Saccharomyces cerevisiae S288C: one gene and its partners. The gene in region 2 interacts genetically with the main gene of each other region. Each region holds a gene or a part of one and is shown on either strand. Other genes may lie near its edges.

What was found.
Region 1: mutations in PTK1 (region 2) and SRL3 together harm fitness more than expected from each alone (negative genetic interaction), as found in Saccharomyces cerevisiae (2 studies listed by BioGRID).
Region 3: mutations in PTK1 (region 2) and EMI1 together harm fitness more than expected from each alone (negative genetic interaction), as found in Saccharomyces cerevisiae (2 studies listed by BioGRID).
Region 4: mutations in PTK1 (region 2) and RIM1 together harm fitness more than expected from each alone (negative genetic interaction), as found in Saccharomyces cerevisiae (2 studies listed by BioGRID).

The regions. Positions count from the first base shown.
Region 1 is NC_001143.9:604,775-612,765, reverse strand, and holds SRL3 (DNA-binding protein SRL3), read right to left. Parts: upstream 1,242-7,991; coding exon 501-1,241; downstream 1-500. Other genes in the region: SRP40 (Srp40p), read left to right, coding at 1-101; PXL1 (Pxl1p), read right to left, coding at 1,700-3,820; TGL4 (triacylglycerol lipase), read left to right, coding at 4,401-7,133; TVP38 (Tvp38p), read left to right, coding at 7,348-7,991. UniProt on the Saccharomyces cerevisiae protein: Weakly suppresses a RAD53 null mutation when overexpressed.
Region 2 is NC_001143.9:65,664-74,877, forward strand, and holds PTK1 (putative serine/threonine protein kinase PTK1), read right to left. Parts: upstream 4,558-9,214; coding exon 2,569-4,557; downstream 1-2,568. Other genes in the region: MNN4 (Mnn4p), read right to left, coding at 1-1,803; PEX1 (AAA family ATPase peroxin 1), read right to left, coding at 5,071-8,202. UniProt on the Saccharomyces cerevisiae protein: Essential determinant for low-affinity spermidine transport.
Region 3 is NC_001136.10:1,470,000-1,477,705, forward strand, and holds EMI1 (Emi1p), read right to left. Parts: upstream 1,065-7,706; coding exon 501-1,064; downstream 1-500. Other genes in the region: SDH7 (Sdh7p), read left to right, coding at 18-419; dithiol glutaredoxin GRX2, read left to right, coding at 1,018-1,449; YDR514C (uncharacterized protein), read right to left, coding at 1,549-3,000; SLF1 (Slf1p), read left to right, coding at 3,430-4,773; EMI2 (putative glucokinase), read right to left, coding at 4,975-6,477; GRH1 (Grh1p), read left to right, coding at 7,240-7,706. UniProt on the Saccharomyces cerevisiae protein: Involved in sporulation. Required for the full activation of the early meiotic inducer IME1.
Region 4 is NC_001135.5:170,230-178,111, forward strand, and holds RIM1 (Rim1p), read right to left. Parts: upstream 3,212-7,882; coding exon 2,970-3,211; intron 2,887-2,969; coding exon 2,721-2,886; downstream 1-2,720. Other genes in the region: FEN2 (Fen2p), read right to left, coding at 657-2,195; SYP1 (Syp1p), read right to left, coding at 3,597-6,209; 40S ribosomal protein uS11 RPS14A, read right to left, coding at 7,271-7,677. UniProt on the Saccharomyces cerevisiae protein: This protein binds preferentially and cooperatively to single-stranded DNA (ssDNS). Involved in mitochondrial DNA replication. Stimulates PIF1 helicase activity.

The DNA of each region.
Region 1 (7,991 bases), 540 kb from region 2:
GAGGTAAAGATTTCACGAAGAACAAAAATAAAATGAAGAGAGGTTCTTACAGAGGTGGATCCATTACATTAGAAAGTGGTTCATACAAATTCCAAGATTAAAAGAATAGGAAACATAAAACAAAACTCGTTGTCTGGAGTAATCTCCTTTTAAGTTGTAGAGTAAACAAATTGTAATTATAGCAACGATAGAAAAATAATAGTAATAAAGACAATAATAATAGTAACAAAAATGGTAACAGTAATATTTTGTATTGTTTTCCTTTGAAAAAAGAAAAAATAAATAACCTGGTATATAGGTAATCGCGTCACTAAATAATTAAGCATTCAATAAAAGTTTTTTTTAATTATTTTTTTTTTTATGTTTTTGGCTCCTAGAGGTGAATATTTTCTTTTTCTTTCTTCGCAGCTATATACTAAATATTAGTGATATAAACAGCAAGAACTATAAACCTAAAAGTAGCCAAAGCCATGTATATATGCGAAACCCGAATCATTAGTTCAGTCCGATGAGGACATCTTCAATAATGTATCGATAGCAACAACTTCTTGTAAAGAATTCTCCTGTGTACTTTGCGTTCTTCTATGAGATGACCAACGTAACGGCGAAACGTTAACGTTGTCTACCCTATTGCTTTTGGCATGTTTGGACGAAATTGCCTTCAAGAACGCTGCATGAGCGGATGAATCTTCCAGAGAACTCAGAAACTTTTTGGATTCATCTAACGAGTGACAGCGCCTATGCTTAGCGGCAAATTTATTACTATAAGAGCCCTTTCGTATCTTTTCCGTCGGAGGTGGAGGAATCAAAGCTACTTGCTCATGTTCCTTTGATAGCTTAACCATTGCGCAGTTGAGTCTTGATTTTAGCGTGCGTGAAAACTCCCGTACGGAATCGTCATTCTCTTCCTCGATAACCGCTGTGGGAGAAACCAATGGGGGCGTGGGGGATGGAAACATTTCTGCATTCTTAGACCTGGGTGTTGTAGGTGTTATTGGTCCTGGAAAATGAAATTGTACGTTGTATTGATATGTGGGATCCTCATTGCCATCGGGCGAAGGGGCAGATGTAGGAGAATCTTGCGCTTCACTTATTGAAGTTTTGAAATATTTCCTTGCCGGCGTCGCCAGAAGGCTGTTAGATTCAGTATCCAGGTTGGGAGAGATCAATTCGTTTATCGTTAAGACTCTCGATTTGGGAGTCTCATTTACCGTTTCCCAATTAGGTGTCTTAAGAAACATTATATTCGTCTATTATTTATCCGTTTGTGCTCAGGTTCTTCTTCCATCCTCTTGAAAATACAATAAAATAACGAAACATTTCATTGCTTAGCCTTTCCTTAAATAAATTTCCTTATTCTCTATTCTTAGGCTCCTGTTCCCTTTTTAGCTTTTAGCCTTTAATGCACCGGTACGAGAATGTCCAAAAATAGAAATTCGCTACAATTAAATGACGCGTAAAAAAACAGTTAGAGGTAGTTGTTGAGAAGAAGACAACGTAGTGAATATGAGTGAATGATGTCTTTATAACTAACTAACTAATGACGACTAATGTTGTTGATACCATAGATAGGCAGATGCCTTTTTCCTGCGCTATACAATTTATAAATGAACAAGGCTGGCTAATAATATAAAAAATCAAAATCTTATTAAGAATGTTATGAAACATGTGTGCTAGGAAAGACAAATGGGTAGTGATGCTAGTTGAAGTTGATGAGCCTCGTTCTCCTTTTAGAGAGAGTATTGTTCTTATCATTGCTTGATGTAGCATTGTCGATACCTTCCTTCAAGAGAGCTTCCATGTCGTGATTACCGCACAATGGAATTTCCCCATTGAATATATAATAATCATTAGTAATGGCAGTCTTGCATAAGAAACAGTTTAGACAATCCACGTGGAATCGTTCCACCTTATCATTTTCCAGACATTCACCCTCTATGAAATTTGAACAAACCTTACAAATACTGTGATTCTCCTCGTGATAGTGCTTTTGACAATATGGTTCATCGCCTAGAATATAACAGGGAACATGTTTATTGAATTTGATACCACATTCAATGCATTTAAAACATTCACGATGCCATTGACCCGACAGTTCGTTTTCCTTTTTGGAAAACATTCTTTTCCCTGTGACTTCCAAGCCGCATGCTCTGCAAGGTCCCTCCCCAGGCGGATATTTAAACTCAATGGGCTCCGTTTCTTTATAATCTGCATCAGAGCTGTATCTCGTAGTGCCGCCGTTAGGTAATACATGAGAGTCATTAGATTTGGAATTATCAATTTCTTCTCTCAGATCTGTTATGTTGCGCTTATGCTGCAGTTGTAGTGCTTCAATTGTGGGAAGTTTCGTTCTGAAAGTTTCTTGCGAACCCATCCCTTCATTATTGGAGTATTCTACGTTCGACTGTTTAAACTTGTAAAAAATGGGTGTGCCACCATTAGTTGTAGATTCAGATGGCGCGTCTTCATCGACATCGCCTTTATCTACCAGAATAGTTTGTCTGGATAAGTTCGTATTGCTGTTTTGCACAATTGATGTTTGCTGCGTTACGGGTATATCCATGCTGGGATACCCAGATAAATATGCGCTTGACTTTTTGAATCTAGAAGCCTTTCTGTCCACTGCGTTGAGGCAATTGCCGTTCATATCGAGCTTTGCATTTCTAGATAGGGAAACATCGTCTAATTGAGCAATCAATTGTTCGACTTGGAGGTTCGTAGCAGTGTATGGTGTTTCCACGTTTTCTGAAGAAGTTATTGAAAGACGTTTCTCATTTAACCCATCAAGACTTAAATCTTCAACTTTTGTTGACGATGATGACACACCAGGTGATTTCTGTTCCTTTGAAGATTCCAGGCCAGAAAAGTTATCATCAGGATATATTTTAGAGTCTAGTGCGTTCATGGTTAAAGATGGTGTATTACTTTCCCTCGTAACATTAATTTCCGGAATTTTAGGTTCTGTATTCTTTTCCTCTTGTTTTGCTTCTGGAAAATCATCTTGAAGTGGTTCATTTTCAAGATTCATCTGTAGTTTAGGATCTGGTTCAAAATTTAGGCTTTCAATATCATTCTCATCCTCCTGCTGTCCTTCACTTTCATATTCGATTGAACTTTCCTCTTTTTGCTGTTCTTTTCCGAGTTTTTGGTCGAGCACACCTCTGTTATCGGTTTGGTTCATAGAATTTACAACGCTTGCAGTGTCATTTTGAGTCAGCATCATGAAACTTCTTTCAATAGGGCTCAAATCTTGTTCCCTTTCAGTATTACCAGCATCTTCTTGTTCGAAGTTGAAGGGGAAGTTATCTGCGGCTTGGAATTCCTTGTTAGCAGGTGATTTACATGTATGCCTAGAGGCAGCATATTGTTCCGCCTGACGGTCTAAGTCGCGTTCAAAACGGAAGGGATCCTCTTGCGAAGCACGCTCGCTGGGCCTGGAAATAGAACGAGATATGTCACTGGGTCTCGAAGACGTAAAATTGCTATTCTTTGGAGGAGTTACACTCCGCCTCTCGCTATTCTCCAATACGGGAGGCGGATAAATGTCAGACTCGCCCTTTACAGATGAATAAGCACTCTTTGAAGACGCCGTATACGCACTCTTCATCGTGACCGGAACAGATGGGGCGGCAGATACATTTCTTTGACGGGTTATTGGCGGCGACTTCACGGAAGCTTGTAAACTTCCAGTGGAAGCATTCCTCTGACTACTGAACGGATTACGCGGCTTAGTGTCAAACCCTGCTCTTTCTAGAGCAGTTTTGTAGCGGACCTTCGGATTTATTTTAGGGAAGGGGGACCCGTAGATTGAGTTATACATTGACTTGAGCGTTTCTTTTGCTAAATTTATTCTTGTTTTTCCCCTTACGTTATTCACTATAAGCTTTGAAGAAGCTTGAAAAAAATTCGGCTATAATATCCTATTCTAGCTGTATAAATTAAATATTCAACACAGCAGAAATATATTTTAAGGCTACCTCTTAAATTTGCAACACTCCAGCTTTTCTATTATTATTATTTACTTATTTTTTCATGTTTCCTATTATTCATGGAATTGAAAAAGGACGCGAATTGAAAATTTCGAAAGAAATAGGGCTAGGCGCTTCAAAAAGTCATTAGGTTTACTTACCAATATTAGTAGGTTAAATATTAGAAAAAAGGAAAAAAGATCTTAAGGGGTTTAAAAAAAGTAGGGTAAACTAGGGCTGACATATTACCCCTCTTATACGATAATTGCGACTATGAAACGCTAAACCACAATTATAAAGTATGGTTGATTCAAATTGTCATTATGTCATTATTGTACTCGTAAAAGAGGCCTGTATTCAAGTATTTGATCAAAAAAATTAGCGCTGTAATAATTATTGAAGGGAGTACAGGTATATGTAATAAAAGTCTGAATGAGCAGCAAAATATCAGATCTTACATCTACACAAAATAAGCCCCTCCTTGTTACGCAACAACTAATCGAAAAATATTACGAACAGATCCTGGGCACTTCCCAGAACATAATTCCTATTTTAAATCCGAAGAACAAGTTTATTAGGCCCAGTAAGGATAATTCAGATGTTGAAAGGGTGGAGGAGGATGCTGGTAAAAGACTGCAAACTGGCAAGAACAAAACTACGAACAAAGTAAATTTCAACCTGGATACTGGAAACGAGGATAAACTTGACGATGACCAAGAGACAGTAACAGAAAATGAAAATAATGATATCGAGATGGTTGAGACAGACGAAGGCGAAGATGAAAGGCAAGGGTCATCTTTAGCCAGTAAATGCAAATCATTTCTTTACAACGTTTTTGTGGGAAACTATGAAAGAGACATTCTTATTGACAAAGTCTGTTCACAAAAGCAACATGCGATGTCATTTGAAGAATGGTGTTCTGCGGGCGCCAGATTGGATGACCTCACTGGGAAAACAGAATGGAAGCAGAAATTGGAAAGTCCCTTGTATGATTACAAGCTAATAAAAGATTTAACATCTAGAATGCGTGAGGAGCGCTTGAATAGGAATTACGCTCAATTGTTGTACATCATTAGGACGAATTGGGTACGAAACCTGGGAAATATGGGGAATGTAAACCTATATAGGCACTCCCATGTAGGCACCAAATATTTAATTGACGAGTATATGATGGAGTCTAGGTTAGCGCTAGAATCTTTAATGGAGTCTGATCTTGATGATAGTTACCTTTTGGGTATACTGCAACAAACGAGAAGAAATATTGGTCGTACCGCTTTAGTTCTCAGTGGGGGTGGAACTTTTGGTCTTTTCCACATCGGTGTCCTTGGTACTCTATTTGAATTGGATTTATTACCCAGAGTGATTAGTGGTAGCAGTGCTGGTGCAATTGTAGCAAGCATATTATCTGTCCATCACAAAGAAGAAATTCCGGTTTTACTAAATCATATTTTGGATAAAGAATTCAACATTTTCAAAGACGATAAACAGAAAAGTGAAAGCGAGAATTTGTTAATAAAAATATCTAGGTTCTTCAAAAACGGTACGTGGTTTGATAACAAGCATCTGGTAAATACAATGATAGAATTTTTGGGAGATTTGACATTTAGGGAAGCTTACAATAGAACGGGTAAAATTTTGAATATAACCGTTTCGCCGGCATCTTTATTTGAACAACCGCGCTTGCTGAATAATTTGACTGCACCAAACGTCCTGATTTGGTCCGCCGTATGTGCATCATGTTCACTACCGGGAATTTTCCCCTCGAGCCCACTTTACGAAAAAGATCCAAAAACGGGAGAAAGGAAACCATGGACTGGTAGTAGTTCGGTCAAATTTGTCGATGGTTCTGTGGACAATGACTTGCCCATTTCTCGTCTTTCTGAAATGTTTAATGTAGACCATATTATCGCATGCCAGGTGAATATTCACGTATTTCCCTTTTTGAAACTATCACTATCCTGTGTTGGCGGGGAAATTGAGGACGAATTTAGTGCAAGATTAAAGCAAAACTTATCAAGTATATACAATTTTATGGCCAATGAAGCTATTCATATTCTAGAAATTGGAAGTGAGATGGGAATTGCCAAAAACGCGCTTACAAAACTGAGATCGGTATTATCTCAACAATATTCTGGTGACATCACTATTTTGCCCGACATGTGTATGCTTTTTAGAATAAAGGAGCTGTTGTCAAACCCAACAAAAGAATTTTTATTAAGGGAAATCACCAATGGTGCAAAAGCTACGTGGCCCAAGGTTTCCATTATTCAAAATCACTGTGGCCAGGAATTTGCTCTGGATAAGGCGATTTCTTATATCAAAGGTAGGATGATTGTCACCTCCTCTTTAAAAACCCCCTTCCAATTTGCTGATTCAGTCATTGGATTAATTAAAGCTCCAGAGCAAACGTCAGATGAGTCCAAAAACCCAGAAAATTCAACATTGCTAACTAGGACTCCAACCAAGGGTGACAATCATATTTCCAATGTTTTAGATGACAACTTATTAGAATCAGAATCGACAAACTCTTTGCTATTGTTACGTGAGAATGCAAGCACATATGGGCGGTCACCTTCCGGGTTTAGACCGCGGTATTCCATTACGTCCGCTTCTCTCAATCCGCGTCACCAAAGAAGGAAATCAGATACTATTTCAACTTCAAGGCGACCAGCCAAATCCTTTTCATTTTCAGTTGCTTCTCCCACATCAAGGATGTTGAGGCAATCCAGCAAAATCAATGGACACCCACCGCCAATTCTGCAGAAAAAAACAAGTATGGGCCGGCTAATGTTTCCTATGGATGCCAAGACCTATGACCCGGAAAGCCATGAACTTATCCCACATTCTGCCAGCATTGAAACACCTGCCATGGTAGACAAGAAATTGCATTTTGGCCGAAAGAGTAGATACTTGAGGCATATGAACAAAAAATGGGTCAGCAGTAGCAACATATTATACACAGATTCGGATAAAGAAGACCATCCTACATTGAGACTGATAAGTAACTTCGATTCAGACGCAATGATTCATAGTGATTTAGCGGGCAATTTCAGGCGTCATAGCATTGATGGAAGACCCCCTTCTCAAGCTACAAAGAGCTCACCGTTTCGATCGAGGCCTTCTTCTTCAACGCAGCACAAAAGCACCACCAGTTTTACTCAATAAGAAAACACGGGCTTGCTTATATATCCTCTAGATATTCTTTTTCATCTATGTATTTATTCGAATGGCCTTTCTCATTCATATCATTTTCAAAGCGGAAATCGAAATCATTGTTTTCTCTCGAGCTGCACTAAGAAAAAAAGCCACTTTACTAAAACAATACCTTCAACATATTTGAAAATATTATTATGGTGGAAGAAAGATATTGGTTACACAAATGAGTCAGTCTTACGAAGCAGGAAATGCCAATATGGGCCAAGGGGAGGATGATGAATTTGATGGCTATTTCGAAGACTTTGACAACGATATCATGCCAAATAGTAATAATGGACAAAGGGTTGGTACTAATGCTGGATTGTCATTCAATGACGAAGTAAATGTTAATGATGATGATTTTTTAGACATTTATAATATGTCCCCTAGAGAGAGATTGATGCATAATATCAGGAAGAATGTTCAAAAATTACAGTTTTATTTTTATTCACTACGCTTATGGCAACAGATTATCATTGTCCTCCTCGGCATAATGCTAATGATAATGGGTATATTGTTGCTCGTCTTCCATAATGCGATTTTACATAAAGTTGTTGTTACTTCGAACGATTTGAGAGAAAAGATGTCAACACATTTTATATTAATGGTTCTGATATTCTTTGTCGCATTTCCTCCTATGATTGGCTACTCCTTATTATCCACCACTACTGGGTTGATCTATGGTGTCAGTTTTGAGGGATGGGTTACGCTAGCTTTGGGATCTGTAACAGGTTCCATTGCCTCTTTCGTTGTGTTCAAGACGATCTTGCATTCAAGAGCAGAAAAGCTTGTGCATTTGAATAGAAGATTTGAAGCATTGGCTTCAAT
Region 2 (9,214 bases):
CAAGTAATCCCTACTAGGGGCAGAAGTGCTAGCTAGACCGGTAATATCAATGTAAAGGCCGGTGTCGACGTCAATGAATCTTGCATCGATATTGTTTTTACCGTTACCGTTAATTCTTACTGTCAAGGAGTCGCTGACGTCTAGGAAATAACGTCCATTACCCTGTCTTGGGTCTTCCAATATAAGAGATTGGTTGAAGTATTGACTGAGCAATTGTAAATGCTTAATGGGCATTTGCAAGTCGAAATCGTTATCCCAAGGGAAAGCCATTCCATTGTAAAGATAGCCGTACAGCGTTCCGTGAGACAACCAAGATATGATGCCGTTGGCTTTAGTAAACTTTTGGAATGTTCTGATCATTGAGTTCAATCTAGCCTGGTATTCTTGTTTATCATTGATTAATGTATCAACATTGAAGAACCTCTTGTCACGATGGAACCCCATACCTTTATATTGCTTCACGGCACCAGCCTCATAGAAGAACTTTCTTTGCAATGCAGGGCTTGTCTTTACGGAATTCTTCAAACTGTTCAGATAATTCTCATTATGAGCGGAAAATTTGTCCGGATAGAGTTTCTTCTGTTCCTCTAACTCTTCAATTTTTTTGGAGGCATCGAACTTGAAATCCGAAGGGGATAAATAAACCAAATCTTTATCAAAAGTGAATTTATCAGTTTCTTCAATTTCCAGTTTGTATAGGGAGTTAACTTGGTCGTTATTGACGAATTCCTGGAAAAGCCTGTTATGGTTGAATTCTACGTCCTGTTTATTTTTCTTTCTCTTGTTCGTAGAATTAATGTTATCATTAATATATTCCTGCAACAGGCCGGATTGCACCAAGTTTTTTGATTTTTCAGTTTGCAAGGGGACTTGATACGTGGAATTATCTGATTCGATGATGGAAATGGATAGTGGATGCGACTGTGTAGTCAAAATGTAGTTTCTTGCCTGCAATTGGTAAACTTCGGGTCTAACTTTATCATACAGCTCCTTTATTTGAAATTGCGTATTAAATCTTAAACCCTTAGGAGAGCCATGCCCGTCTGGAGTGAATAGCTTGGAACAATGCTTTTTTAGTTCCTTTGAGTCTTTGATTCTGTCCTGGTTTCTAGCGGCCTTGTACCACAGTTTCTGCGCGTACTTTGGTCTTTCGTATAGGAACAAAGGTTCGCCGAGCTCTGTCTCAATGGCCTCTAAAGACTCTTTGTCGAAAGCGGACTGGAAAAGAAAATTGCAGGGCAGAACAGTTTTATCTATGGAAATCAGCTTATTCAGCTCGTGGAAGGTTGTCCAGTCGTACCATGAAAAGGGTAACTTTTCTGGCTGATCTGCGTCATTATTTTGCAAATGGTTCAGCACAACGGACCACGTGAGACGAGGGTCGAAGTCGTAAAACTTCAACTCATCCACGGATTCGAGCTTACTGCCCTTTCGAGGGCCCATTTTGACCGAGAGCAGGTCATTTTGCAGAGTATATTCATTGACCCATTTAGGGTTGGTGCCGAATTTTAAATTTTCGTATAATGTCTTAGCGAACTGGATCTTGCGATCGTTTTTGAAAGACGAAGTCAGGATGCTATACCAGGAATCATCATCACTGTCAAGTTCGTTGTAATTTGGTAGAAGGTAATCAGCGTCCCGCCCAAGTCCGTTACGCTGCGGTGAATTTGACCAGATAAACGTTATAATGATGATCTGCAGTAGAATCAGTGGAAGGAGAATGCGCCTTAATGGGTAGTGCTTGACACGCAGCAGGCCAGATAAGAACCGCCTGTGAAGTTTAGATGATATTCGCTGAAGCATAACTAATTAGTTTATTTGTGTGAAGGAATAGTGACGTTGTGATGCGGTGAGTTCGGCGGTTAGGGGAATGGTATATGATAAAAAACGGAAACGTGCTTCTTTAATTTAATTGTTTAATATTGTTGCAGATATATAAAAAGGGGGAAAGAACCAAAGATGTAATTATTTCTTTATTGCCTCAACCTAAAGCAAGCAATAAGGTATAGAGATCAGGACGTCTCGAGAGCTGATATCAAATTTGAAGCCACGCAAGTAACTACGTAGGTCAGAGGGCACAAGGAATAACACGTGACATTTTTCTTTTTTCTTTTTTTTTTTTTTTTTTTTTTTTGTTAGTCTTGGCTTCTGTGCCGTAGTCTGTATACGGTTTTAGATGCGGTATGTTTATCATCGCCCAGAAATTTGCGGGGTGCAAAGAAATAAAATCCGTGCTGAAACCCGTGCTGAAATCCGTGCACCGCATCAAATTTTCTCGGAGGATTCTTTGCGCCGGTTTTCATTTTCTTCCACGGAATACCAAGCCCATTGCATCGCGATGTTAGTTTAGCGGAGTTTCTTGGCATTGGCAAATCTCTGCTAAATGCTGCGTACAGACGGAAACTCACACCGCCGCGAAGACTGGTCAGTGGCAAAAAAAAAATAAAAATATAGAAAATAACTATTACGTATGTTACTGTTTCTGGTAGTTGATATGAAGTTGGAGTTGTATATTGTACGCTTTAGGAACAGGGAAGTGAATATTATTTACTCTGCTGCACATTCTGGCTAGGTCGAAGCCGGAACTTGAGAAGACGCCGCGCTAGAACTATGGACCAAGCTGTTGACAATGTTCAGATGGTGATGCACTACCCTGTGCGGGGAGTGGCCACGGACGCGAGCGGAAGGTGCGGAAGGTGCGGAAGGTGCGGGAGTTGCGGGAGGTTCTTCGCTAAGCGTGAGGGTTGCTAGCTGGGGCGGCGGGGTTTCCCTAAGTGTAAATAAGGCCTCGGCTGGCACATGAGTCGCCGGAGGAGGCGGCGGAGGCGACGACGCTAAAACCGTGGCCGTTGGGGAAGGATGGGCGGCTATATCTACCATTGACCTGATGGGGACTCGGTTCTTAAGGAATGGGTTTGAGGTGGGTGTGGTTGCAGCAACATCTGTAGCGATATGGAAACCCCGCGGATTCTCGTACGTAGTGGTTTTGATAATAGGTTTCTTACACACATATTTGTCGTTGGCATCAACACAAGTCTCAATTCCTTGGAACCATGGGTCTTCGAAGAGGTCGTCGATGGTGTAGCGGGTGGCGGCTTCTGGGTCAGCGAGCCGCCATGCCACGCGAGATGCATGTCCGTTCTTGAAATTTCTAGCCAAGTGATACTCCATTCCCGGCCCCGGGCGGTAATTGCCGCGATTGCGGAATGCGCGATCGTGAAGACGGATAAAGTTTTCATAAGCGTCACAGTAATCGCGGAAACCAGTGTCGAAGCTGCAGGATTCCAAAAATGGAATGACGTTGTTGACGAGGGTCATGAGGATAATACCCAGGCCATAACAGTCTAGAGCGCGTGGGTCATACGGCTGTTGCAATTCCGTATCGTAGTGCTTCTTGGAGTCGTAGAACATGACCTCCGGGGGAGCATACGGCGGCGAGCCGATCATCCCTGCGCACTTCTTGACAGGGCTGGACAGGTCGTGTGGATCCGTGTGGTACCAGTCTGAGATACCAAAATCTGTCAGCTTGCACACGCCGTCCGGGGATAGCAGTACATTTTCCGGTTTCAAATCACGGTGGGCGATGCCCTGATCGTGGCAAAACTTGACACCACACGCCACCTGTTTGAATATACAAAACTTTTCTGCTAGGGCCACGCTGCGCCAGCCCGATTTTTGTATCATCGCGAACAAATCTCGTAGACCTAGCTCCATGACGAACCCCCACCCGCGAGTGGTGTAGACGGTGGTGGGCACCTTGACTAGAAGGAAAGTATTTGTGATGTGAACATGATGACTTAGCTGCTTTGCGATGATAAACTCCTTTGAGCAGCGCTTGTAGAATTTCTCGGGCGTTTCATTATAGATCATATTGAGCTTCTTTAGAGCAAATACGTCCTTCTTGCGGTACTTGGAGCGGATCTTGCGCACTTCGCACGAACCGCCCCATCCGATGGTCTTATTCTCATCATCAAAGACGAAGTTATCGCTCAACTGGATGCTTGCCTCCTTCATCTCGTCGGGCAGATACTCGTTTGGGTCCACAATTGGGATCGGCAGCATGCGGATTTTGGAATCCCCATCGTGAAGGTAGAAGCCCAGATCAGGGTCTTTCTTCATGGAGGTAGAGACGGACGAGAGTGACGTGCTTGGGGTTGAGACGCCGTATGGATTGTACACTAATCGTTCGCTACTGAACTTGGAGTTTGAGAGATTACGCGAAGTGGACGAATGTCTGTTTCCTCTTGAGATGGACGTGCTGGAGCCGGCCGGAGGTAGGATCTTGGTTGAGGCGGAAGATAAAGATCTCTTGCTGTTGGTTGTGTGAGCGAAAGAGTTTGCACGGCGAGAGGTTTTCAACGAATTCGGCAGTTTTGGGCTGGAGGATTCGCTGTCATTAGTACTTGTAGAGTGGAAGTCTGGAGGTAGAGACGCCTTTTTCTTCAACTTGTTCCCATGGCTTGAACTTAACAGCTTCTTTCCGAAGAACTTAAATGCTGATACCGAGGAGATTGGTTGTTGGGATATCTTCGTAGAATGATTGTGTGAGACTGTCATTGGTTGGTGGTGCGATTTAATGCGTATGCTTGCCTGTGGCGTTAAAATGGTCTATACGTTTATGCTAATATTTCTTGATGTAATGCAGGGCCTATGAATACATGGAGGTTTGTTGCCGGTGGTATACGGTTGAAAAAAAAAAGAAATAGATATATATATATTTCTTCTTTGTATAGACTTCTGCGAGAAAAAGAAAAGATAAGGAAAAATGAAAAAAAAAGCGTATAGGTGCTAAGAAGAATTAAGTATCAAAAGGTAGCAGGCATTTATGTTATATATGCAACTTCGGATTTCGTTCAATACATCTTGACCGGTCTCCACTGTTACTGGCATATTTCTCGGGTTTTTCCTTTTCACCACAAGGGAAAAAAAATGCGTTATGTAATTTCACCAATATTTTTCCCGTCCTGCGTGCTCGCACAATACAATAGGGTCATGTCACGTAATAAGCAACGTGCGCCGCATTTTTTGCCCTTTAAAGGGAAACGCGCTTTGTTCTTTTCTTCTTCCTTTTCACATAAGGGAGAGTCGGCTACCAATGTCGATGGAATTCTCACCATTGGGCATCTCACCGTTCCTATCCTTCTGGAACCTATCGTAAATCCCCCTTAATTTGACCAACTCACTTGTTGAAATACTAGGTTTTGTCTCTTGACAGGCTTCCAATAAATCGTTTATTGTGACCACAGCTGTCAGCTCAGAAGCAGCTGAAGTGCTTGTCTTTGTCTCGTGCACCACATCTTGCTGCAATAGAGTCTTTAGCCGTAGTCTATTTTCTTCTCTACGCCCGTGCTCATTGATACTGAAGTATTCTATATTATCATTGCCGGGTACCACTTCCGATTGGTCTGCAGCAGACAGCCACCTATGTACAGATTTCAAATAAGCATTGTAGCAGAGCCCCTGTAAATCAGCACCCGAAAAACCAGCTGTCTTTTCAGCGATCAACTTCAAGTCTGCATTTTTCTCCAATGCAAATTTTTTTTGTCCCGTATCCTTGTCTTTTGAATTGACGATAGCTTGCAAGATATCTAACCTCTCTGATTCAGTCGGTATATTACAGATCACACTTTTGTCTAATCTTCCCGGTCTTAACAATGCGCTATCAATCAAATCAGGTCTACTTGTAGCTGCTAGTATATATACACCATCAAGGCCCTCGGCACCATCCATTTGGGTCAATAATTGATTGACTACACGGTCTGTGACACCAGTGGAGTCATGCCCTCTCTTTGGCGCAATAGAATCGAACTCGTCAAAAAATAGAATACAGGGTTTGACGGACTGTGCCCTTTCAAACAATTCTCTTATGTTTTGTTCGCTGGCACCTATAAACTTGTTTAAAATCTCTGGTCCCTTAACGGAGATAAAGTTTAACCCACATTGTTGTGCCACGGCGCTCGCCAGAAGCGTTTTACCACAACCAGGATAACCGTAAAGCAAGATTCCTGATCTCAATCTTAGGGGACAATTAACGAAAATAGGCTCATATTTTGTGGGCCACTCTAAGGTTTCTAGAAGGACATCTTTGGCATTTGCTAAAGCACCAATATCCCCCCATTTGATGTTCGTTTCTTTTGTTAGCTTTACTCCACGCAACGCAGATGGTGTAAACGCACTAAGCGACTTCGAAAAAAGTTCCCTTGTTACAACATTATCACAATCTCTTTCCAACTGCAAGTCGTAGAAAATCTTTTCTGTGAATATTTCCAAATCTAGTGGCGAAAATCCTTCTGTCTCCAACGACAAATCACTGAATTGCAAATCTCGATTTAGTTTCATGATCTGGTTTTTCGAGAAAAAATACTCCAGTAACTTCGCTCTTGCATGTTTGTCAGGTGCTCTCAAAGACCACGTCTCTGAAACAAAATGCTTATCAAACAATAGCGGATTAATTTGAGTTTTCTGCTTGCCTGAAAATAAAACTCTGATTCGTTTATTATCCTTGTTAAATATCTTTGTCACCTGATTGATGAAAAAATTCAAAAGTTTGCTTGCATTATCCCATTGGCCATTATTAGAAGGATCTCCGTCATTGGCTTGAGGTTTTCCAAATAGAGCCTCAACGTTATCCAACACAATCAAAGAAGGACCATACCAATAACAAAAAGAACACCATTCCATAATTAATTTTTGGGTTTTATCTAAATTTGATGTCTCGTGCAATGTTTCACAATCCGCATATTTAACGAAGATGTGATGATCTTTTTCCACTTCATTTATAAGCTCTTTTAATAACCTTGTTTTACCGATCCCTTGCTTACCATCTAATATAATAGCTGGTGTGGCAATAATAGGCGATGTCAAATAATTGACCATTTCTTTCTTGATACTATTTACCGTAATGAAATCATCTTCATCTTTACTAGTGCGCGAAACTTCGCCAGTTTCTTTGACGTGGTAATGTTTAGGCAAATGCCTTTCGATAATATCTTTAACTTCTTCTTTACCCATTTGGGTTACTTTCCATTGAACGGATTCATTGGAAATTTCATTCAAATTACACAACTGCTGCTCGGATTCACCTTTTTTTATTTCGATTATAATTTGCTCTGTTGGAAGTATTAAGTTATTGGTCAATAAGCTCCCGCCCAACAACTTAGAATACTGATCCCCACTCTTGGTAGGAACGTCCTTGCCAAAATATTTGATATTGACTGTTGCATTTCTTCCGGATATTATATTTGCTTGATTCATTTGTAGAAACTCTAGTTTGATTTTTGCTCCGTTCATTGGGTGCGTAAAGAATGCATCCCAAAGATGAGAGCTTAATGCAATGTGATTTTCGGGTATCTGACTATCACATTTTATAAAAACCCCAATCTTCTTCGAAGGGATACCAACTGATTTATTATCTGAATCGCTTTTCTTGGACTGCCTTAAGCTACATTTTACGATAGAAGCGTAGCCCTTCTGAGAAGGCAATTGTGCCCCGTCACTGATATATACGACAAAAAGGTTATCTTTAGGGAAGTCCATTTTGCACACAGTACTCCTCAATATTACCTTCTTTAAAAGTTGGATAGCCCCATTTTTTAGTATTGTCTTATTACTATGACCATACTCAGCCTTCACCAAACGTGTTTTATTGACTTTTGGTGCCACAACAACCAAGGAACCATCTGTGATCCTCGCAGACTTCATTGATGGCTCCACCCTGTCAATTTTGAACTTTGTAACAATTCCTTCCAAATAACAAATCAAAGTCTCACCTGGGGTAACTATACGGGTTTGGTGCAAAATCTCACCATTTTGGAACCTCATCGCATTGGCATCGATAATTTCCCAATCATCACTCGTTTCTGGCGTGACATACACCTCCGTAGCCAGGTGTGTGTGGTCATATCGCTGGATGTATAAGTCCACCAATGGAGACTTTTGATTTAAATCATATACTGTGGCCAAAACAGGATTGATAAGAACAACATTCTCACTCGATCCAGAATCATGGCCATCCCATCCAAGATGAACAATAGGTATATCTGAATTATGAGAATGGACTGCTATACCGAATTCCTGGATAGCGTAGTTGGTTGACTCTAACACGTTTATAATTGAATGCGGTAACCTTAAAAAGTTTCCTACTATGGCATTGGAGAATTGGATTCTCAGATTCTCAAACTTCAACCTCTTGGTCGTCGTCATTTGAAAGAGCAGTTCCTCAGGTGTTTCTTGTTACTGCCGTCCCTTCCAGAAGAAATTCGACGATGACAATAGTCGGAGAGATATTCCGGACCTTTATAATTGCGGCTACGCACAAGAATAAATCGCGATAGTAATCGGATATAAGACAATAAAGTCCAGCTAACTTGGTTGGAGAATTCGACAGATTACCATGAATATAGAAATCGATGTTTTTTTTTGTCCACGCCGATTGATCAGCCATTTTTTTTTATCAGGGTCGCAACTGCCCTGTGCAAATAAGAAAGCCTGAAATGGTTGCACAAAGACCACAAACAAGGGCATACGCCAGTACAGTATTATGGACTCATGCCATCGAGGTTACATAGAATTAGTTTAAACAAAAACCAACTATCCTCTAATATCCATGGTACGAGTATATATAATTGTATGAAGTGTAAGAATATGATATAAATAATGAGAGCACTCATAGAGAGTAACGGCGCTGAATTGTAAGAACTGTCACGTAGTAACACAATCACTGAAAGCATATAAAGTGAAATGAGAAACGGTAGTAATATCATATGCATTACCAATTCCTTTTAGTGAATTTCCATGTGCCCGAGGGGGGACTTCCAGTATATTCTGTTACATTTAAGTAAATACTTCATCAACAAATAGGGCCCAGCGGTTTCTTACACTAATTATACATTTACAACGTAAATGCTCCAGCTCAAGCATTATTTATATATCTTGTTTTCAAAAGAAAAATATAGCAATTAGACTCCATGGCCAAGTTGGTTAAGGCGTGCGACTGTTAATCGCAAGATCGTGAGTTCAACCCTCACTGGGGTCGCTTATTTTTAACTTTTTTACACTGAAGAAACAAATCAATTCTAATACAATGCCAATGGCTTCAAATCAACCTTTGGTTATAATAGTTAGGAGAATCGATGCTTACATAGTATATTATTTAAACAATTAATTTGATTTAAAAGATTTTTGTTTCCCTTGCTGCTGTCATTGGCTTTCTAAA
Region 3 (7,706 bases), on a different chromosome or scaffold from region 2:
TCCCGTCTTCATTCACCATGAACAACAAGCTCATATATCGTTCGGTTAGATTTGCAACCCATAACAGCCAGCTTTTACTTCCACCTTTGGTTCTCTACAGAAGGATACTAAGGCAGCATAAGCTGCTACCTGGTCCCCAAAGGGAGATGGGTGACCAATACGTGCGAAACGAGTTCAAGTTGCACAAAGATATCGATAACCCGTTGCATATAGTCGGCTTTTTAGCTTCCTGGCAAGATTATCTCCACATGATTTCCAACGGTAAATGGAAAGATGCCACTTTATCTTCGGAAACCCTGGAGAAACTATCCCCTGAGCAAACAGTTCAACTGTATGAATTGATGAAGGAAACACAGAAACTTCACCAAGACAATGAAATAGAATCAAGTAAGGACGTGAAGCGGAACAACAAGGATTAGTGTTCGTCTTTTTATTGCGCTTGTAAATAAGAAATCCATATACTATATAGTACACATGCTAAAAAAAAAAAGCTAAAAATCTCACTTATTTGCAGTGGTCTCCCTCTCCTGCCATATAACCCCACTGGTATTTTCCAATGCCTTATTGTTGGAAACCTGATCTTTATACCATTCCTGCACTTTCACAGGGTCATTGCCGTGGATAATACAAAACTTGAATTTGGACACCTGCTTGTCACATGATGTAAAATCTCCATATCTGTAATAGCTTCTAAATTGCCCTCCAATCGAATAGCAACTCGTCAGTTGATCAAATGCCTCTCGGCAACTCATCGTTGTCGGATATTTTGTACTCATCCTTTCCTGTTTCTTCCTCAAGCTGCTCTCTTTTACCCTAATAGAACCATCGCCTCCCTCTTGATTTATGCTAATACCACATCCAATAGCAGAACTATTACTAAGATCCGATATTTCGGCCCCCTTCGCAAAGGGGCCCGCCGCACTTTCTTCATGAATTTTCATATAAAAAGTCCCAGGACGCCAAGAAAAGGTGCCCTCTTGATTAACGGACACTCCAACTACTGTTATATATTGTTTCATGGAGACCAATTTTTCCTTCGACTCGAATTTAATTGTTATTATCATTATCACGTTGTTTGCCACAAGAATTATTGCTAAAAGATTTTTATCTACTCCAAAAATGGTATCCCAGGAAACAGTTGCTCACGTAAAGGATCTGATTGGCCAAAAGGAAGTGTTTGTTGCAGCAAAGACATACTGCCCTTACTGTAAAGCTACTTTGTCTACCCTCTTCCAAGAATTGAACGTTCCCAAATCCAAGGCCCTTGTGTTGGAATTAGATGAAATGAGCAATGGCTCAGAGATTCAAGACGCTTTAGAAGAAATCTCGGGCCAAAAAACTGTACCTAACGTATACATCAATGGCAAGCACATTGGTGGTAACAGCGATTTGGAAACTTTGAAGAAAAATGGCAAGTTAGCTGAAATATTGAAGCCGGTATTTCAATAGTTTAAATTACGCTAATATCCCCTTCATAATATTTACATATATATATCTTTTATTATCTATATCTTAAATCACATATACCTACAAAACTTCTAGCTAGATTCACACAAGAGTACTTTTGAAGGCTGCGCGTGCATTTTGAAACCAATGAGACCCGCTAAATTCCGTCTGAGGTACAAGATCCCTCGGCTTCTTTCTTCCCTTATCATCAACTTTCGGTTTGCTATTATTGGCATTCATCACACTTAGCACGTACGACATTGGCAAAATTTTGGGTTCGTCCGCCTCACGCTTAAACCATTCTCTTATCCTATATCCCATTGTTTCTAAATCATCTGCCCCAATTTGCTTTCTAAAGTTATAATCTCCTAACTTCAGCATCAGGAGCAACGTGTAATATGCATCATTGCCTGCGTTATGTAAGAAGGCATGTGGCAAGTGAAAAAGCCTTAGTAGTTTACCTAAACTGCTACCCTTCTTGCCATAACACATGCTATAAATTTTCTCTGTGTCAAGCATCTTAACATGTTTTCTAACACCTTTGCTCTCCGTTGAGTCCTCCGGTTTGGTAAGTTCATTATCCAATTCAGGTACATGGACCCCAATTTTCTTCAGCCACTTAATATCCCCCGCTATAGCATGACCCACAAACGCTCTTTCCCAGGTTGTATCTTGGTCCGTCTCACATTTCATATAGAAATTAATCAACGACTGAATGAACTCTACACATTGTTCCAATGGTAATACAAGACTTTCTCCAAGTAAAAAGCAGTCTTTAAAGTCGCATACGAATTTCTTGTTTCTTAACGGTAACGCTTCAGCAACAATTAAATGATAACTTCTTATAATCGGCATCAAGGAATAAATGTTTTCTCTTGGATCATATATGGCGATGCCAATCTCTGTAACAATGTCTGTATCAAATTCAAATGCCTCTACATCGATGGCAAAACAAATTGTCTTGTTGGATGATAATAACTCAATAGTTTTACAGAGATACTTGAACTGAGACCCACCAGGTTCACAATTCATCACAGGTATATGTTCGTTTTTTACGTCCTGTACATCTGCTAAATATTGCTTTCTTAGATTTTTCTCCACATCGTCTTTAGATGCATCAGGTATACACCCGTTTTTCTCTATCCATTTCTTGTCAATTTCTTCCAGCTTCTTATCCAGTAATTCTGAACTTTTCTCATAGATGGACCGATAGTTTGTTTCCAATGCCTTTAAATATTTTTGGATTTCACTACTTAACGCAATGTTAGGGGTATATGCAATTTCGTGCAGAGAATTAAAATGTTCAAACTCATTTATCCATGTCTTTTGTCTTCCTAGTTTATTCATCAACTTGCTACTTGAACTCTTATACAGTCCCACGCCCCCTCTTCTTGAAGGGACCATACCCCTAACTCTAGCTGCATTGCGGGTTGCCAGACTCCTGTTTAAACCTTGTGGTTGATGGTAATTGCGGACTGCTTTGGAGTTGAATCTATGCGTAACCATTTTGACTACCGCTTCGTATGCTTTCTTGCACTTTGTGGAGCTACTCATACAATAGCTTATAATCTGTGTAGTCAAACTATATACTAGGCAAATTACTAGTAAATGCAGTATTCATATGTCCTCAAACCGTTTTTTGCAGTATGTTATTGATCCATCGAATCAAAATTTTTCACCGCCAAGAGAAAAAAGATCTTACTATTTTGTGCTTATGAAAAAATTAGTAAAAGTAAAGCTGGAAGCACATACAAGCGCAGCTGAATCACAAAGGAAAATTGGCACATCCTTGGTTGACACTTGTCTATTTATTAAAAGGTTTTAAAAAGTAGTGTTCAGCAGTTCTATCATATTTTTTTATTTAAAAAAAAATACTGAGAGGAAGCGTATTGTTAAGACACAATTTAGGGTGGCGTTAAATAAACGAGAGAGCCCAAAAATATAACCAAGATAAAGAAAATCAATCATAAAGTGAATTCAAAAATGTCATCGCAAAACCTCAATGATAATCCAAAAAATACATCCTCAGCAGCTGAAGATAAGAAGAAACAAACTTCATCCTTAAAGTTGGCACCAATACCAACCACATCGCCATGGAAATCATCTTCGCCAGATAGCAATACAGTAATTCCTGTAGAGGAACTAAGAGATATATCAAAGACTGCAAAGCCAAGTAAAAATGGTTCGGGGTCAATTAAATTAACAAGCAATACCAAATGGACTCCAATTACGCCGTCTGTTATAATCTCAGGTTCCAAGGACACAAATTCAAAGTCAGGAAAGAACTCTAAAAATTCTAAGACTAATAAAAAAATGAAAAAGCGTGGCAAATATAATAACGATATCAATAAAAAGGACTTTAACGGTCAAACCAACAGTACATCGGAAATAAGTAACGTTTCCAATCTTGAATCCAAACCTTTAGATGCTAACGCTAAAGTAAACATACATTCAAGCTCAGGAGCAACTGCCAATGGGAATATAAAGAGGATAACAAACAACAACAATTCAACCAACGGTAGACAATCAAGAAATTATCAAAACAGGAATGGCAAAACAAGATACAACAACAATAGTAGACACAGTCAGGCGGCTAATAATGCCATCTCCTTCCCAAATAATTATCAGGCTAGACCTGAATATATTCCCAATGCCAGCCACTGGTTGAACAACAATTCAAGAAATAGCTATAAACAACTGTCATACTTCCGTCAACAGCAGTATTATAATAACATCAACTATCAACAACAATTGCAAACACCATATTATTACTCAATGGAACCTATTTTTAAATCTATCGAAAGTATCAAAAACCAAATTGAATTCTATTTTAGTGAAGAGAACTTGAAAACAGATGAATTTTTAAGATCTAAATTCAAAAAAGCCAATGACGGATTTATCCCCATGAGTTTGATAGGGAAATTTTACCGTATGGTTAATTTATCTCTTGGTGGAGACCCAAATTTAATTTTGGCATCTATGAGAGAAGTTTTACAACATAAAGAAACAAACCATTTGGAAATTGCCCTTGGAAGCATAGAAGGTGCTCAGAAGAACATGGCAGATGATTTCAATCCATTGGAAAACTATTTTATTAGGCGCGAAAATTGGGCTGAATACGCTATGGAAAGTAATTTTGATGAAAATGATGACGAAACTGAAAAATACAACATTGAGAAACTATTGGGACCGAACGATTTAGACAATTATTCTTATATGGGCTATCCAAACTTCTTTCCCAGTAATGAAAATGGGAAAAAGAGTCAGAGCTATGACCAAGGTGAAATTAGCAGGCAGTTTGAACAAAACTTACAAATAAATGATTAATTTTAGACAATATTTTTTTTTTTTTTTTTATTATGTATATAGTTAACATGTATAAAGTAATAGCAGATTCTCTCTAAAAATATAACATAACATTTCATTTCAATTCGTACTAAATAATTTTTTATATAACAGATACATAAGATATTTATATAGAGGAAAACGAAAACAAACTAAAAATAAGCTGTTAAGAACAGATATGTTTTATGCCACCAGAGCACACAAAGCTGCGCCAACACCGGACCCATCTTTGGCTAGACGCAAATGTATCTTACGTTCACCCTCAGTGCCAATTGGACTTAATGCCAAAGCATGTCTCAGCATGGATCTGAATCCAGGATAGTATTCGATGACATAACCGTCAAAACCAATTTCTACCTCACCGTGATATCTTTTGTTCAAAGCGTTTGTCTTGATTAGGATGGCGGCAATCGGAACGGCTGCTAGATATGCAGACCTTCTCGTAATGGAACGGACCAGATTTTGAATTGCTTTACGTTCTTCAAAAGTGGTCGGTAGCCTCAAACTCTGCAAAAACGACAATTCAGTTTCACGCAAGTTTGTCGAATCATCGATTTCAATCCTGGAAAGAACTTCACTGCACAATTGGAAAGGAGTCTTTAAACGGTGAGGTAATTGATCGTAATTACGATACTGTCCCAAGATTAAGCCCCTTGCATGCAAGTCCACCAGGATGTTCCTTAACAGCTCACCCAAGTACATGCCGGAAATTCTTTTTTCAAATAGATGGTAACCTGGATTTGGAGAAAATTTTTGGTCAATATCGATGTCATACTTTGTAGCAGACAAATGTTTCAATTCATTGTCGAAAGAACCCCATTCGATGTTGATGCACATTTGGGTTTTTCCTTCATGCAGCAGTCTTGTTCTGAGCTCATCTGGTAGCTTCTTGATGTTTTCAATATCCTCCATATAGCAACCGTTAGTACCAGTACCAAAGATACAACCAATGACAGGCTCGCTAATCTCACCAGCACTCGATGGACGAGAGCCTGAAGTGTAGCAGTGGGATAGGAAAGTGCCAACCGTGTCGTTGGTCAAAGCTACCACATTAATCATAGAGAGCCCCTGAATGTCTAATTGCTCCTGGTATAACCTCACGACATCCTTGCCGACCGTGTCTTCAATCTTGAAGCTTTTGGTCCATCTGATTAAAGTACCGGAACTCAAAGAGGTTTGGTCAACGGGATATGAGAAGGTAAATCCCATTTTCAAAGGTTTTATGTTCTCCCCCGTGGACTTCAACAACTCAGGATGATGCTTCCTAACGAAGGCCCTTGTACGGCGACCCAGGTAGCTAAACAGCTCCTCGCTGGTGACATCCTTGTCATTTAGATATTCTTCCGGAATCTTAGACTTCAATTGCTGCATATCAAAGGTTCCGTCACCATTCAAAGTCACAGAACACACTCTGAAGTGAGTCCCACCTAAATCTGCAGCCAGCAAAACACCACGTTCCGTCCCATTGGGCAAACTGGTTACATATGTAGGGATCATGGGTAGACCCTTGTCCACCGTCTTTTCTTCGCCTACAGAGGTGTTATTCAACCCCTTTTCCATACATTCAATGAAGTACGCTGTTAGTTCGTCCAACTTTGCTGCATCAACCTGCAATGAGGAGCAGATCTCAACCACTGCATCTTCCAATGCCTCAGCATTGACTTTATGTAAATTTTCAAATGACATTACTGTGTATCTATGATTCGATTCTTGTACAATTCTTCCTTGATACACTGATATCTGTTTCTATTTAAACTTCCTATAAGTATGAGACGTACAAAAGAACACGAGACAAGATGAGATTTTACACTTACACAGAATCGACTTTATATAATCCCGAATACATGTTTCCCCCCCCTGCATCGCAAGCATAATAGAATTCGACGACCCGATCTTCTTCCTCTGTCTTCCACACACACAAACACTAATTCACTCTCACTCTCTCACTTTCCCTTTCGACGACACACACAAAAAGACTTTCTGGATGCCCCGCGTTTTTTGTCACTTGATTCTTCGAACAAAGACGCAGGCAACTACCCCTGAAGGGCCCACCCGAAAGTAGTTGCTACTGCTCGTTGCGGTGGCTGCCAGAGTGGCGACGTAGCGTTGCGTTGTGGCTAACATTGGTGAGACAACCCGATTAAATTACTTAATGGGCTCTCCCACCGCCTTTGCACCCAGTGACAGCCATTTTGAAGATAGCATCGGGCTGGCTTCCAAATAAAATCTAGGTCGTTTCTATTAAGTTCGTTTCGTTATTTTTCTGTCTTCGCGGCGGACACGCAAGCCGACGACGACGAGGTTTAGTTGCATTTTGGCTATCATAAAAGAAATGGGCTTGTCGCAACGGGATCAGGACCAAGAACAGGGGTGCTGAGACTACTACTGTAACTGCGACCGACACAGCGTGCGAAACTAGGGAAGTAAAAAGGTATAGGAAGAAGAACTATGTTTAGAATAGCTAAAAACCTCGTACGGACTTTTGAGCAGAGCGTGCAAGATACCCTGGCACTCTCGCAGGACTCGAGCAATCTGGACGCTTTCTTTCAGTCTATACCACCAAATTTGTTGTCTGCTCAGTTGGAATCACCCGTAGATGCGGTTTCTGAAGGTGTTAAGCACACCAACGTCAATGAAACGCTTTCCGGTCTCCGCATTGTTTGGGTGGACGAGATGCAGTTCCAACTGCAGTCCTTTTTCGACTATATAGTAGGTTTCAATGATGATCCGGTGCCGGTGGTCAGTAATCAACACGGATTTTCGTACCCAGATTACCGTCGTATCACATCCATCTTCAATGAACACTGTGGCCGAACTTTGAAGGTCAACATATGGTCAGCTAAAGGAGGCACGTTCAGAGACGAGTATATCAGCATTATATCGAAGGAGAGCGACGATTTGGACGATGTTTCTCT
Region 4 (7,882 bases), on a different chromosome or scaffold from region 2:
AAGAGAAAAAAAAAGTATAGGCAAAATTCCGACCGGAGCTAGCTTTATCTTGCTCCTCCACCTAAGTCACCTGCTCAGGTCACTCAAGTTCACAATCTTCTGAGAGGATAGATAAAGGAAAAATTGGAACAGATCTTTTCATGGCCTGGCAATTGTCTGTGGATTGGTAAAGCTCTGTCAGTGAAAAAAAAAGTTCTCGCTCCTTCTTGGTCTCTTCTATTGCCTGAGATTCTAATGCTTTCCTTACATTGTTTCATAAAATAACCAATTTTTCGTGTCACAATAATCTTGAAATTTGAAGTTTCTAAAATGCATCAGACATGGTGTCGTAATTAGTTGACTTACTTTAACTTCTACCAAGAAGTAGAAAATAGCAGAGTGCGTGAACGCATAGCAGAGAACAAAATACTTACTAAACCTTTTCGAATAAGTTAGCAAGAAGCTTTTAAAAACATAGACTTAGAAATTGTCCTGCACTTGGCAAGGAAGAAAAGAAAGATTAGTTAAACAGAAATCGAAAAATGCATGATGAAAAACTAAGTAGACCTCTTTAGAAGTGTCTTAGCGGCTATTGTTCATGATACTTTTGAAAAGAGCCCTGAGATTTTCCATTACCATCAACAGGACCAATGAATAGCTAAAAGAATCGAATGTATCTATCGGAAAGGATTTGAAATTTCGGCCATTTCCTCATTATGAAGTTCAACTTCCATACTCTCGTCGTCGCCATCATTTTCATTATCCTGGTTGTCGTCATCGTCATCTTCTCCGGGCATGTCATTAGCATCTATATAAGGAACCTGTTTCTTAGACAAATTCTCTTTTATCTGTAGTGAGCGTATGACGACCGAGACAATTCCGCTTGATATTGCCGTAGCCAAGAGGGCGTAGCAACCTCTCTCAAACTTGGGCACCATATCTGAAGCAAAGAATAATATAGACCACCATGCGTTAACGGCCCCTGAAAACATATTCATGGAAGCAAGAACGATAGCACGTTCTTGAAGATCTGCATGACAAATAATGTTTGCCCACGAAAAAAAAACCGCTTGTCCAGCGTATGCTACGCCTCCAAGATACTGTGCAGAAAAGACGACTTTTGGATTTAGTGGGTCTGCACGTATTAGTACCGCAACAATAACCATTACCAATGATATGAAAACAGAAACATGCCAATGCCTAGCTCTTGGGATCTTACTCATATATACAGCAGAACAAAGCGTAGAAACTATACCTACGGCAAATATCCCCGAAGGATAATTATTTCTTTGCGCCAACGTATATTTTTGGTTTTGTAACCATAATGCAAATGTAGAATTAGATGCGAAACCCAAGTTCTCACCTCCCAGAACCCAAACAAGAGAGAACATCCACCAGTGCCACCTTTTTAAGACTCTAGGAATAGTCGACCAGTCTAACCGGGTGCTTTCGTCCCTAGCGGGGAGCCTTCTCCTAGCATAATGTAGCTCTTGTTCATTAAAAATGTATCTCGTCATAGAAAATTTGCTAACAGCACTTGTTTGATCAGGAAGGCCGGGGAAGAAAATAAACCCATAAATTGCAATGGGTAATGTGATACAAAAATCAATAATGAATAACCATCTCCAACCCGCCAAGCCATTCCGCCCATTCAAATGAGTAAAGATACTTGTTTGCATAAATCCACTGAACATAGATCCCACCAAACCGCTACCTGTAAAAATAGCACTTCTAATGGGCAATTCGTCTTCTTTATACCACGAACCCAAAACAAAATGTGTTCCTGAAAATGTGCAACTCTCAAATAAGGCTTGAAAGAATCTAATTGCGCAAATATGTTTGAACGATGTAACTTTGTACATTCCCAAGGTCAATAAACCCCAAGCAAACGTACAAAAACTTAGCCATATCCTGGGCGGAACACACAATAACATTAAATTATTGGGGACCATACCTACAATGTAACCAATCATGAAAACTGTGTTAGACACGGTCAAATCGTTTCCGACCATCTTAAGATCTTCCTTCATACCGGATATATATGCATTGGTGAAACCGACACGGTCGACATAATTAATCCAGTATTGCAAGCAAACAAATGATAGCACAAACAAGTCTATTTTAAACAGAAGTAATCTCTTTTTAATGGCACGCTTGGAAGAAACAGATTCTCTCTCAACCTCATGTTGAGTGATAGATTTCGATTCCTTCATCATGACTTAGGCCCAGGCTCTCTCCAATCAAAAATTCTGAAAACAGCTTCTCAATCTTGAATAAATCGGAATACTTTTATATCAGAATTACAGGTCCGCCTCATTTCTCTTAAGAGCCGATGTCTTCCTTTACAATATACGCATGTAGAAGATTTGATCGATGCTGAGTTCTTGTAATTCGTCAAAAATGCCTTTCAAGATCGACTACTCAAAATCTACAATAATCGGACTGCATGGATCAATGGAGGTGTAGGCAATTTTGTAACAATGAAGGATATGTTAAATTCGCTAAAGCTTCCTCCTCTTTTGCTAAATTTCATCATCAAAAAGCATTTTGCATAACACACGTTAACCAATATATTATAGTATATATACATTCTATTTGAGAATAAGCATAGTTTTACATAACTAGTTCGTTATTCCAAATGTATTTTTCCTATTTGCCATAAATATTTTAAGTAAAAGAAAGCATGCTCTAGATAAAAAATATCGAGGAAGAGTCGAAATAAGCAAGCGTAAATATTACAATTATTCTGAAGAAGCAGCATTTTCTTGGCCCTCAGCATCTTCTAATTTCTTCCCATTCTTCAATAAATTAATGTCCTTTTGAACTAAGCTCAAAGTAGTACCCTTAGAACCGTCGTCTCTCTCGAAGACATAGTTAGCAGCATCTGCTTCAACATATACCAAAGCGCTGAATAAATTATGGAAAGGAAATGTTAGTAAATTATAACGCGTAATTGTAAAGTAAGTAAAATTGAAGAATAAATAACATACCCTTTTCTAACATATTCTGTCAAAAAATTGATTTGAGGTTCATTGAAAACGGTGATATTATACCAATTGGTTTGGCCATCTCTTCTTGGTTGCGAAGCGATACTATATTTCAAATAACGATTGTTATTAGCAGAAGTATGTTCAGTGAATTCAGAGCCAATGCGGCCGACGATGGACATTTTCGAGAAGTCCATCTTCTTGGTAGTAGCATGGAAGAAACGAGCTTGAGTACGTAAAAACATTACAATGGATTAGTGGATTTTTGTTTGTTTTGTATTTGTCAAGGACACACAATTAGCAAATGACTTGTTATCAAATTCGTGGTATTTGTCTTTCTCAACTACTGTGTTAGCTTTTTTTTTTTCGTCTGGGCGCAAACGCCTTTTAAGCACTCCTCCACAAATAATAAGTATTAGATGAAAAGTCCTAAAAGTCCGAAAAATGGAATAGAAAAGAACGAAAATACAGAATCTTTACAGAACATTATAGTACATAAGTGTAGTTCTACGTAAGTCTTAAACAAAGGTTTCAAAAGGAAAATATGATTTAGCGGCGCCACCTCCATAAATTATGGATTAGCAAACAAAAGAACAATTAATATTGAAAAATAGAAGCATAGCAGAAATATCAAGCGAGACCATGGTAGTTACCAGTGGTCAAAGTTCTTTTTGTGTTTACATCGAGCCACTCACCACCAAATGGATTGTTTTCATCCAGCTCCTGACAAGTCAAGGTGATTCCACTGCCGGCTCCGCTATGGGGTAGAGCCACGTTATCCGTCTCACTGATAGTGAATTTGGTAATCACGCCTTTAGCGGATTCATGTGCCAGGCCGTCTGTAATAAATCTGGCGATTAATCTTTGACCTTCACCATTTCTTGTCAAAACAACTGGTTCTTTAAATCTCCACGTTATTCTCTTCTTTTCTTTACTGAAGGAGCCCTGAGGTTTTGATAAAGCGCTTGTTGCATTAGCACCATCGATATTCACAAAGACAACGAGGTCTTCTATTACGATTTGTGATATTTCATCGGGTAAGCTTGGTGACATCTTGACAGTCAATACAACACTTGCCTGGTGAGATTCAAATCTCCAGACCGGATGAATAACAATAGGCGCGATCGGCTCCTTTATGGAATATTTAATAGCTCCTAAGGTTCTAGAATCGATAAATGAAGGGTTAACTTTGAATTCTTCTGGAGCAACACGCTCAATAAAGGCTTGGTTCAGAATGACCTTTTCGAACTTAGCGCCATTATTGATTCTCAAATTAATACCGATAGGTAAAGGCGAATTCATGACAGAATTGGGTAAATAGTTGAGGGCAATTTCCCCAATCAGTTGGGAGTTCTGCAACATACCGTCTTTGAAAGAAGCATTGAGCACTTCTGCGATACTAGCATTCAACCCAAATTGAGATGTATCTAAAGAGGAGTGCTGAAACAACGATTGACCAACTAAAGATGTTGAAGAGCCCGTGGCTTGAGGATTTAGTTCTCTTAGCTCGCCAGTAATCTGAGAGGAGAGTGTGGAAACTGGACGTTCCTGGGGAATAGAGGACAAGGAAGAAGAAGTAGGGGTAGCGCCTGAGCCGTGATTAGGCAAAGAGTCATAGAGTTGAGAATCCCTGTTATGAATGAAATTTTGTTTCCTTGAGGGTGGTAAAGCAGGTGCGCGGATATGCAAGGGCCTTGAATCAACTTGACCTGAAGGTTGGTTATCAACCGTAGCAGTAGGAAGTGAAATACTGGGAGAGGCAGGCTCAACTGGTAATGGTTTTGTTTTTGATTGTGGCTGAAGTGGAGGTTGAGAAATTGATATCGGTACTGTCTTGGGTAAGTTACTTGAGTCTGGTTCTTTCGCAGTGGGTGGAGAACTTTGTTGTGGCGTTGAAGGAGGCACTTCAGAAGGAGTAAAAGTTTGCGCAGGTGGTGTATCGGCAGTAACAGGTGCATCTACGTTTTTAGGAGTAGCATGGGGAGGAAGAGGAGGAGTGTCACTAGCTTCACCCGGGGTCCAATTGTTTGATTTTGATGATGAATAGGTGGGTCGACGTTGCTTCTGATAAATAGAAGAAGTTGCAGTTGAAGACACTCTGGTGGAAGAATTATTCGGAGTCTCAGTGATGGATGCCTGAATATGAGAGTTTGATGATGATTGTTGTTGTCTCTTGTTCTTGGTCTTATTTCTACCGAAAATTGAGCCCACTTTAGATCTTAGGGTGTGGGACGACTTTTTTGATTTCAAGGAAGAATTATTAGTAGAGTCTGAAAATTCGTTATTCATGAGATCATTATGAGTGAGACTGGAAGATGCAGAGGCAAGACGATGTCCAATGTTTCCAAATGCACTCTTACGCTTATCCTTTTGTGGGGATTTCTTTTCTCTTTCCGTATTAGCGGCACCATTGGATACAGAGACCGGGCGGGCACCAGTGGCAGAAGCTGGCGAAGCATTATTAGGAACTACTTCTTTGGAAGAAGAGGATAGTTGGAAGTTGTATTGACTGGCATCTTTGGCAAAACGATCAATTTCACTTTGCGGTTCGAATGCCAGGAATTTCGTCATCACCGTTTCGCATTCTTTGGTAGTATTTAGTAAATAATCGCTAAAACTGGTTTGAAATCTAAGCATACAGTTTTTTAAAGTGTCCAAACGGTTATAGTCAATAGTCTCGAACAGCTCAAACAAATAGGGGCTTTGCTGGTCCCATTGCCTTCTTGCCTCTTCTAAGTGACTAGAGTTTTCGTTATTCTTACTATAGTGCTCAATTGAAGCTGCATTTTTACTAAGCTTGGAATGTAAGTCCTTGCTTTCTCTCCAGCTAGTATTGTTCTCCACGGATTCCTTCAATTCACGAACGACTTGCTGGTCCAAAGTGTTGTAGTATTCTGTACTTGACTTCAAATCTGATTTTAGTTCTTCAATTACAGTATCCCATACATTTCTTAGCTCTCCCAGCGAGTTGAATCTGAATGCACTCATTTCCTGCGGAGTCAAAACATTACTTTCAATCATTTGAGCGTTTAAGATCTTTGTTATATCTTCATTTTCAGCTATTATTTTTCTCAATTGCTGAGCATAGTTCCTCTTCAGATTTGCCAATTCCTTAAATAACAGGTAAAAGTCTTTATTCAACAATTTGACCTGCGATAACCTGATTCTAATAGTTTCGGTAGCCTCGTAAGGACTCTTAGTAGTCAATATGCTATCTGCATATTTGGTTCTTTGTTCCGTCATGAGAGGTGATTATTCGCAATTTTCAAATAAGCTTGCTTCAATACGACTACAGCAAAAGTAATTCCTTTATTAAGGCAATAACTACGAGACCTTTTCTTTGTATTTCGTGAAAACTTGAATGCAATATAGAGTTTTTCAATCTGCAAGTACTTAAGGGGCCCTTTTAGCTACACATAATATAGAAATGAAAGATCACGGGCTACGAAAAGCCATTCATAATCATATACAAATATCACCTGTAATATATAAGAATATATGAGCTATTGATTTTCTTCTACCGCCTGATTTAGTTGTTTTCACTCTTCAAAACTAAATTCAGTATTAGCGACAGTGGAGGTGCTAGTACTCTGTAAATGAAAGTAAACGCTGGTATTCATGTAGAGCACCAACCTGACTGTGAATGCGTAAGCTGAAACATGATAGCCGCCTGTAAAATATTGTTATCAATAAGTAGACCGGCTTACACGAATAGGATTCGCTTTATTCTTTACTCCCCACTCAACCCTAAGCAATGTTCAAAATAGTGTGAGATTATTTTATGCGCGCCTCCTTCAAAAAAAAATTTACATATATAACATAGGTGGAAAAACTTCCCTCCGATGTCTAATAAGTTAATCAATAGAATGAAATGGACACGAAAAGGCGTAGACATGGAAGATGACAATGACGAGAACGTCATTTTTTTTTCCACGTATTTTAAAAAGGGGTAGCCTGCTTCACCAGATGTTCTTGTCAACAAAATTCTAAAATGATGATTTTTTTAAACACAATTTATGCTAGATAGTATCTGAAAGCATTCAAACTTTATGATTACAGTGTTTTCGACAGTTTTAAATCTCTGAACCGATTTTGTAACTCTTGGTAATTGTGTCCTTACATTTCCGTAATGACGTTAATCAAATCGCAATCTTGAATCTTCTTAACTAAAAGGTTATAAGGGCTTTTTTTTATTACTAAATTGACGTATGAGCTGATTTGATTATGGGCGCTATATAATTATATGTACACATTTTTTAACTGTAAAAAATAATACGGCAATACAAGTACAATACATGCATAACTCATAATCTTCTACCTCTTCTACCACCCTTCTTTCTGGTGGAGTCAGATGGAACTGGGGTAACATCTTCGATACGGCCAATTCTCAAACCAGATCTGGCCAAAGCTCTCAAAGCAGCTTGACCACCTGGACCTGGAGTCTTGGTTCTAGTACCACCGGTAGCTCTGATCTTAACGTGAACGGCAGTGATACCGACTTCCTTACACTTAGCGGCAACATCTTGGGCAGCCAACATAGCAGCGTATGGAGAAGATTCATCTCTGTCAGCCTTAACCTTCATACCACCAGTAACTCTGGCGATGGTTTCCTTACCAGATAAATCGGTAACATGAACGAAAGTATCGTTGAAAGAAGCGTAAATTCTAGCAACACCAAAAACTTGGGAATTGTCACGAGCTTGAACAACGTCTAAATGGAAATAGTAAATCGATATCGGACGATATCAAACGTAATGTTGTTAGTATCCAAAAGTTTTTTTTTTTAATTCTTACATAGTATCTTTGCTTTTCCATCGAAAAAAAAGTTGACAAAATATACTGCCATTGACACAATAGGCTCAACTAATCGCTATGAATTACTTTGGAGGCAATGAATTCGTTGAATTGTCTTTATG